2 linked regions of the Macaca mulatta genome follow. The protein of the gene in region 1 purifies or fractionates together with the protein of each later gene. This does not show direct contact. Links are inferred from orthologs where the notes say so. Each region holds a gene or a part of one and is shown on either strand. Other genes may lie near its edges. The genes, in order: RAB5C and GDI1.

Region 1 (4,304 bases):
TAGAGGCACAGTGGCCACAGCTGTCCCCGGTGAGCTTTGATTCCACACAGGTTTTCAGTAGTGTCCCTGGAGGGTGAGATGCAAAAGAAGAGGAGGTACTGGTCTGTGTTGAGAGGTAAGGGTGGGAGGAATCAGGAGCGGGCCCCATCCATATTGAGACGAGTAGAAGAAACAAATATTCCTGATCCACATGGGGGGGTGCAGAGTGGGGGTGGTTCTAGTCTTTATTTGCGGATGGAGAGGGCCCAGGCAGAGATTGTCCAGCTCTGTATTCCGTGTCAGAGAGAAGAGCTGACCCTGGCTGGGAGCAGGGGAAGGCAGAGGCAGAGATGGTCTTTGTGCCGGCCCCCTGCACCAAGTAGGAGGTGGTGGCAGAAGCTCTCCGTTTGATCTCACCCAGCATCCTGTAGAGAACCCTTCCTACAGCGCTTTCATCGCCTTCCCCATCACAGACGCCCCCAGCAATCGGGCTTCCCAAGCTGACTTGGCCGGAAAGTGCAGACAGGGGCTTCTCCAGATCGGCAAGTTCGAAGGACTGAGGCCTCGCATGCATATTCATTCGCACCATGTTTCTTCTTTCCCAATTCTGCACACATAGTCCTCTGCCTTCTTCCAACGCTCCACCACCCGCCTTCCCTCGGGGCGTCCGGAACCGGCGGTGACCGGGTGGCAGGCTTGGCCTCAAAAAGTTCCCGGCCATAGGCTGGGCGCAGTGGCTCAGGCCTGTAATCTCAGCACTTTGAGAGGCCGAAGAGGGCGGATCACCTGAGGTCAGGAGTTCGAGACTAGCCTGGCCAACATGGTGAAACCCCGTCTCTACTAAAAATACAAAAATTAGCCGGGCGTGGTGGTGCGTGCCTGTAATCCCAGCTACTCGGGAGGCTGAGGCAGGAGAATTGCTTGAACCCGGGAGTCGGAGGTTGCAGTGAGCCGAGATCGCGCCACTGCAATCCAGCCTGGGCGACAGAGTGAGACTCCGTCTCAAAAAAAATAAAAAGTTCCCGGCCGGGCTCGGCCTTGTAGTCAGCCGGCTCCAGCCTAAGCCCAAGTCCCAGGCAGCCACGGACTCCTCCCATCGCCACGAACTACAAGTCCCGCCATCCCTCGCGCGCGCCCTCCCGCCACTCCCGCGTTCCTACCGGCGCCGCTGGGTAGGTCGGCCAAGAGTGCCTCCCATTGGTTTCTCCGCCCTGTCAATCACCAGGGAGTATTGAGGGGCGGGGCGGAGGTAGAGATCCGGATCCGGAGCGGCTGAAAGACGGAAGTGGAGGCCGGAGCCTGGGACACCGCCGGGGGGGGAGAGAAGCAGAGCCCGTCCGAGCCCCGGCCCCAAGTAACGCCGCCGCCCCGGAGCCGCCGTGAGTATTCCTGTCCCAGGACCTGGTGTCTCGCCTGCGTTGAAGCATCTCCAGGGCAGCCCTTCCTCCCGCCCAGCCCCAGTTTAGGGGGATACTGACCCCTCCCCCGACCCGTAGCCCCCTCTTGAGGGGTTCCCCAGGCGTCGGGCCGCAGGAGATGGGGAGCTTCTTTCCTTAGCTTACCTACCTTTCGTGAGCCTTAAGGAAATCGCTATGACTGTCCTCTGGCCTGTCCATTCCAGTTGTGGGAGAGAGGTGCCTAAGTTCCGCTCCCCCTGCTCCCAGAATCGGAGGATCTTTGCCAGGTGTGAAGGAACCTGTCCCTCTTCTCTTTTAGAAGTGACGGAGAGTGCTGTCTGTCGCCGTTTTCCTTCCTGCTGTCCCACAAAACCAGTTGTCCCCTCCAGCCCTAGAGGAATATCTCGATTTCCTTTGGGGGAGGGGGTCGTCTGGGTGAGACCGTTCCACACGCACAGAAGTGTGTTGGCGCTCCCGCAACTCCTTACTTCCTCTCTTTCCTCAAGCCAGAGAACCATCCAGGACCTCAGCAGAGTTTAAAGTTTGGGTCACTTACTGGCAATGAGCTGTTTTCTTGCTTTGCCCCTTCTGTCTCCCAGCCCCTGTTCTCTAGTTATGTTGTTCTCTGAGTGTCTCTCTCTTCCTGACTCTGAAGAATTTAGCTGAGGTTTGCTCAATTCCAGCTATAAATCACAGATCAGGGTGGATGTGCCCATTCATTATCTTCTTTCCCCTCCCCCCTTGCTCCAGGCTCAGCTCTGTCCTCCCACAGCACGTGAGTGGTTTCCAAGCCGCCTCAAAGGGACTGCTGCTTTTGGGACTGCTGTCCGTGTGTCTATAGGGAGGAGAATGAGACCCAAAATGAGGAGTCTGGAATTGAAGGGCTATCTCTTTCTCACTCCCAAACACACACACACACCCCACGCTGAGCAACAGGTCCATGGCACGCCAGGGTCTGTCTCCAGTCCCTTCTGGGCTTGGACTTATTACTGAGGACTAAGTCAAGATCACAATGGCAGTTCAGGATTTTTAACTGTAGCCCAAGGAATTCCCATACATGCCAGAAAGTGCAGGTTCCCTCAAGCATATTGACTATGATCCTTGTCTGTTGCTTGGGGCTTTGGTGTGTGAAATAGCTGCTGTCTCAGACCAAGCTTTGTTATGTGGCCAAAGTACAGGCCGGAGACTGTGCCTTAATGAGGAGTAGCCTGGCTCTGAGGCCATGACCGATCCTTGCTATCTACAGTGAAGGAAGGGACAGAAAACCATGCAGTTTGTGGGAACTTCTGTAGCACTTCAGTGTTCTGGGCTACCTTTACCACCCTTGCGTGCCACTTAAAAGTGCTGTCTTTTGACCTTGAGGTGTGTTTGAGTGCTTCTGGACAGCGGCTAGTGTCTGATTCCTACATTCTTTTGAGTAGACCTAGGATGTACTTATTTCACTTTTTTGTTTGTTTATTTTCTTTTTTTTTTTTTTTTTTTTTTTTTTTGAGACGGAGTCTCGCTCTGTCACCCAGGCTGGAGTGCGGTGGCCGGATCTCAGCTCACTGCAAGCTCCGCCTCCCGGGTTCACGCCATTCTCCTGCCTCAGCCTCCCGAGTAGCTGGGACTACAGGCGCCCGCCACCTCGCCCGGCTAGTTTTTTGTATTTTTTAGTAGAGACGGGGTTTCACCGTGTTAGCCAGGATGGTCTCGATCTCCTGACCTCGTGATCCGCCTGTCTCGGCCTCCCAAAGTGCTGGGATTACAGGCGTGAGCCACCGCGCCCGGCCTGTTTGTTTATTTTCGAGATGGAGTCTTGCTCTATCCTCCAGGCTAGAGGAGTGCAGTGGCGTGATCCCGGCTCACTGCAACCTCTGCCTCCTGGGTTCAAGTGATTCTCCTGCCTCAGCCTCCCAAGTGTCTGGGATTAACAGGCATCCACCACCACGCCCTACTAATTTTTGTATTTTTAGTAGAGAAGGCGTGTCACCATGTTGGCCAGGCTGGTCTTGAACTCCTGACTTCAGGTGATCCACCCGCCTCAGCCCCCCAAAGTGCTGGGATTACAGGTGTGAGTCACTGTGTGCGGCCTACTTACTTCACTTTTTATTGGACAACAGAAGAAGCCTTCGTTATTAGGGTCAACAGCTGGATCACAAGCTCTGTATCTGTGTGGGTTCCTTTGGGGCTCATTGGAGACTTCTTCAGCCAATCTAGTTTCTCTGATCTGGTCAGCCTGGGTATCTGAGCGGCAGGGCCAGAGAGGCCTGACTGCTCACTGGCCATTGGTCTCTGACCAGACTTAGGTCTTCAGGAGTAGAACGTAGTTTGTCACTCTTCATGAGTGCTGGGATGAGGCCGACCAGGCTTCTGAGGAGATCTTCTTTCCTTTATCTGGACATGGTCTCCCAGCTCTGACTCTGAAATGAATTTTTTTTTTTTTTTTAGACAGAGCTTTGTTTGTCGCCCAGGCTGGAGTGCAGTGGCGCAGTCTTGGCTCACTGCAGCCTCCGCCTCCTGAGATCAAGGGATTCTCCTGCCTCAGCCTCCTAAGTAGCTGGGATTATAGGCATGTGCCACCATGCCCAGCTAATTTTTGTATTTTTAGTAGCAGCAGAGTTTCACCATGTTGGTCAGGCTGGTCTGGAACTCCTGACCTCAGGTGATCCACCCACCTCAGCCTCCCAAAGTGCTAGGATTACAGGTGTGAGCCACCACACCCGACCTGAAATGACTTTTGAAGGGGAAGCTCTGCCATTTAGAGAGACGAGGAAGGCCTCAGTGCTTTGGGTAGTTATGCAGCCACTTCTGGCATCCAGAAATTATAGAGTCCAAGGAGAGGTCTCACTCTGCCTAGCAGAAAGAGCGATGGCTCCATGTGCGCCAGAAACCCTTCCTTTCTGATGCTGTTCCTCTCCTGCCCTCTTGCCTCTCACAATTAGTGGA
Region 2 (4,278 bases), on another chromosome or scaffold:
CTTTTTAGCCTCAGTTTCCCCACCAGGATGAAGAGGGGATTGGCCTGGATGGACTCTAAGGGCTTTCCTGGCTTGGACACTTGGGGATGTCTTGAGGATCCAGTGGAGCCCCTGCCAAAGGCTCAAGTTTTCTTTGTTGTTGTTGTTTTTTGAGATGGAGTCTTACTCTATCGCCCAGGCTGGAGTGCAGTGGTATGATCTCGGCTCACCACAACCTCCACCTCCCGGGTTCAAACCATTCTCTTGCCTCAGCCTCCCGAGTAGCTGGGATTACAGGTGTGTGCCACCACACTCAGCTAATTTTTTGTATTTTGAGACGAGACGGGGTTTCACCATGTTGGCCAGGCTGGTCTTGAACTCCTAACCTCGTGATCCACCCGCCTAGGCCTCTCAAAGTGCTGGGATTACAGGCATGAGCCACCGCGCCTGGCCACGCTCAAGTCTTTCAAAAGGAGTCCCGTTCCCCTCCACGTCACATCCCTGCTGCGTGGGGACCTCCCTCTTGGCAGCCAGCCATGCGGCATGACATGGGGCAGAGGGAATACAGAGTGAAGGGCCTCTGGTCCCCTTCATGGGGGAATGTGACTTTGGACAAAGGGGTACCTTACTCTGGACAGCCACCCATCCCAAAGACAGTTGGCTTCCCTGCCACCCCATGATTTCTCTGGCTCAGGGGGCCCACACTCACTGGAAGCCAAGGCCTCAGTCTCAGTGGACGGCACTTTGTAGATCTTGCCCCCCTTGTAGACAAAGCTGCCCTCCACCACCTTGAAGTCCAGGTAGCGAGTCACTTCTGTATACAGTAGCATCTTTACCAGCTGCCCTGTGGGGGTGCACAAGGGCAACATCAGCACGGCTCTCTCCAGAGGTTCTAGCTGGTCTGGCTGCGCCTCCTTTGGAGCCTGACTGTCCTTAGGTCTTCCCTATCACCCCCGACCTGCAATACCTCCTTCCTGTCCCTCACCGTTAGCCATGAGGAATTTGGGAATCAGGTCAACGTTCCAGTCTCGGCCTCGGCCCATGGACTCAGGGGGCCCCTCCAGCAACTGAAAACGCTTATACAGCTGTAAGCAGAAGGGAGAGAGAGACACCTCAGGGACCACCTCCTCCTGCTCCAGGCACCTGGAGAGCTACTTCCACCCTGTGCCGCTGTGTGGGAGGTTAACAGGGATGGGCCTGGGCCCAGGCAGCCTCACCTCCTCCAGGGGTGTGATGGAGGAGCTCTCGCCCCCGTAGTAGGGGTTCCGGTCCATGTGCAGCACCTTCTTCCCGTTCACAGACATGATGCCCGACAAGATGCATTCCTGGGGGAGGGCCACACAATCCGCTGCACTCCCACCTTCCTCTGCTCCTACCAGCAGCCCTGATTTGTTCCCCACCCAAACCTGCCTCAGTGGACAGCTCCTTCCATCCACCACCCCCACCGGCTAGTTGCCTCGCCTAAAATTGGGGTGATGGTTTCATCCGACCACACTCTCCATTGCAACCTTGCGGGGTAAAGGAGACCCGTCCCCCTCACAAGGCAGACAGTGAAATAACGGAGGCTTTGAGGTAGGCAGGGCATCCAGCAGACACAGGATGGCCTTCCAGTACCAACACGCCGAGAGGCATCTACCTACGCAGAGCCGCACAAAAAGGCGGATAAAACACAATGTGGCACAGAGGGGACCCAGCTGGACTGCGAAGGACACTCCAAAGGGAAGCAAAGAAAGGCTTAGCACAGTCCTTGAAATTGTAGGCCCCACCCTGGACTGCTCTTTCTTCAAAGAGCAGGAGCCCCTGCCGCTGAGGAGGGGCATCTGGGTCTGGACCGAGGGAGAAGAGTCTCTGAGGGGAGTGGGCCAACGGGATTTTCGGGGAAAGGGGGAAGATAAACACCCTCACCAGTCACTGTCACTAGCCCAAGGACAAAGGCTGCAGATGCTACTCAGCCTGAGGTCTCCATGGGCAACCGAGGTGGGGTTGCGGGAATGTGCTTACTGCCCCCACTGCTGCTCCTTCTGGAACATTCCCTGGATCCCCTGGCCCCAGAAGACGACGAGGGGGTGGGCTGAGAGCCCACCCTGGCGAGGCCCCCTGACCCCAGGTCCTTGTACTTCATCCTCACAGGGATTAGCGCAAGATGGGAAGGGACGCTGGGAGGCAACGCTAGGCGGGCGATGGGTGCGGGCGACGGGTGGATGCCGTGATGGGTGGGGGCGATGGGTGGGCGGGGTGGGGGCGATGGGTGGGCGGGGTGGGGGCGATGGGTGGGCGGGGTCGGGGGCAACGGGCCGAGTGGGGGTGCGTTTTCCGGTCCAGAGGGCAGGGGTAGGGAAGATGGGAGAGCGCCGGGGGTCGGACCCGGGTAGGCCAGGGGGCGGCCAGGAAGGGGGCCCCTTCGGGGAGATGGGGTCATGGCAACGAACAGAGGCGACATCGCGGGGGGAGCAGCGGGGTGGGCACGGCGCCGGCTTTTCGGGGAGCCGAGCGCAGAAGATGGCAGTGACCGGAGGATGGGCCGGCGGCCGCATCATCGCGGGGAATGGCGAGGGCACGACGCAGGGCCAAGGGCGCCCGGGGCCGCACTTACGGTGAGGCCGGTCCCCAGCACGATTACATCGTATTCCTCGTCCATGGTCAGGCCTCAGTGGCAGCGCCCGCTCGGCTCCTCCTCCTCCTTCACCACAGCAGTAGCCACCGCCGCCGCCGCCACCGCACTGGACCAAAGATGGCGGAGCGTCGGCCGCCGCCCGACCCCTCCGCCGCGTCAAAGAGTCCCGCCTCTTCCCGCGCCCCGCCGCACCCGGCAGGGGACACCGCCTTCCCGGCTCGCCTCCCGGGAGGGCTGCCAGGGCCCGGGCCACAGCACCAGCGCGGCTCCGCGGGCGACGTTGCTCGCCGAGAGTCCAGAGAGGCTCGGGGCGGGGCGGGCGGGGCGGGCGGGGCGGGCCGGCGGCCGGTGCTGCGGCCCGGAAAGGATCCATGCGCGGGAGCCGCGCGCGCCCCGCCCCACCCGCCCCGCCCCGCCCCGCGCGCGCCCGCCCCGCCCCCCGGGAGTCTCGGCGCGGCCCCGCGACCGGACGCGCGCCGCTGCGGCAGCCGGGGGCGGCTCCCTCACGACGCGAAGGCTGCCATTGTCACTACGGCCTCCTGAGACGCCGAAGCGCACCGGGACTCGGCCCGACCACCCCTCCCTGACCTAAGCGGTTAGGGCCCAGCTTACTAAAGCCCCTCCCGGTCTCCGGGGATGCCTCCTAGCCTCCCCCTCTCCAGGCTCCATCCTCCCGCATACCTCTGGCGAGCACGCGCCAAAAGCTCAGCGCAGAAATGAGCGACAAGAGGCCCAACGCATGGCGATCCTCGTTTACTTTATTAGGAAGGAAACAACCGAGCACCCCCTGCTCCTGCCAGGCACTTCCGGTGGGAACATGCCAGACAGCCGACGATCGCACCCAGCCCACCTTCCTTCTCAGGCCACAGAAATAAACCCCAGTGTACTGCTTATTGTTAGCACAACATCACCAGAAAACGATAACGACAGCCAAGCAGGACAGTTAAGTAGAACTTCCACACCCCAAACTCAGGGAGCCCTATAACCTTAAGGAGGGAGCATTTGCTACACAAAAACACTATCCACAGCCAGGGATGATGTAGACACAAGAATAAATAAGGAGAAAGGGGACCCTAGAATTCATGTCCCTTACGCCTCACAGCGACTAAGCCTGGGAAGCTGGTTGGTCTAGCATCTACGCAGAATATGTACACCTTGTTGGGAGAGATGGGGGCAGCCCAGGAAAGCTCCTCAGCAGGCTGAAGAGGGAGCAAGATGGGCTGAGGGGAGCTTGGGGTTCATGCTGCGGTAGGAAGAGGGAAGCTCCAGTCCAGTGTGCTGCAGGGTGGGAAAGCAACAACACGGACACTCTCCCACCCTCAACCCCCCACTGGCACAGGGTCAGACAATCTGGGTCAAAGAAATGGTGGGGCCCTTGTGATCATCAAAGCGATCCATGGTCTTGAGACTGAGGATCATGTGCAGGCCGTAGGTGAAGATGAAGAGCATGAACAGGGAGGTCAGCAGCCCCATCCAGATGCCGGGGGAGAAGAAGCTGGCACAGTCACTGGCATAGGAGAACTGCTCCCCCATCACGTTGAAAGCCTGGATCTGGCAGACACACAGACACGGGTCAGAAAGGACCGTTGGGAGGCCCAGCAAGGACTGGGACAAGGGCAGCGCAGGGACAGGACTCCCAAGCCCAAGCCTCTCTTCGTTTCTCAAACACCAGCCTGGGCTCCCCC

The links.
Region 2: the proteins of RAB5C (region 1) and GDI1 purify together in Homo sapiens (affinity purification with mass spectrometry; 3 studies listed by BioGRID and IntAct, counting the BioPlex papers as one, with this or other methods). This does not show direct contact. The link is inferred for Macaca mulatta from reciprocal best matches to the Homo sapiens genes RAB5C and GDI1.

Annotation. Positions count from the first base shown.
Region 1 is NC_133421.1:66,492,644-66,496,947, reverse strand, and holds the start of RAB5C (ras-related protein Rab-5C), read left to right. Parts: upstream 1-1,241; 5' UTR 1,242-1,358; intron 1,359-4,304. UniProt on the Homo sapiens protein: The small GTPases Rab are key regulators of intracellular membrane trafficking, from the formation of transport vesicles to their fusion with membranes.
Region 2 is NC_133426.1:160,619,042-160,623,319, reverse strand, and holds the start of GDI1 (rab GDP dissociation inhibitor alpha), read right to left. Parts: upstream 2,901-4,278; 5' UTR 2,618-2,900; coding exon 2,573-2,617; intron 1,305-2,572; coding exon 1,197-1,304; intron 1,065-1,196; coding exon 965-1,064; intron 824-964; coding exon 689-823; intron 1-688. Other genes in the region: ATP6AP1 (V-type proton ATPase subunit S1), read right to left, coding at 3,935-4,144. UniProt on the Homo sapiens protein: Regulates the GDP/GTP exchange reaction of most Rab proteins by inhibiting the dissociation of GDP from them, and the subsequent binding of GTP to them. Promotes the dissociation of GDP-bound Rab proteins from the membrane and inhibits their activation.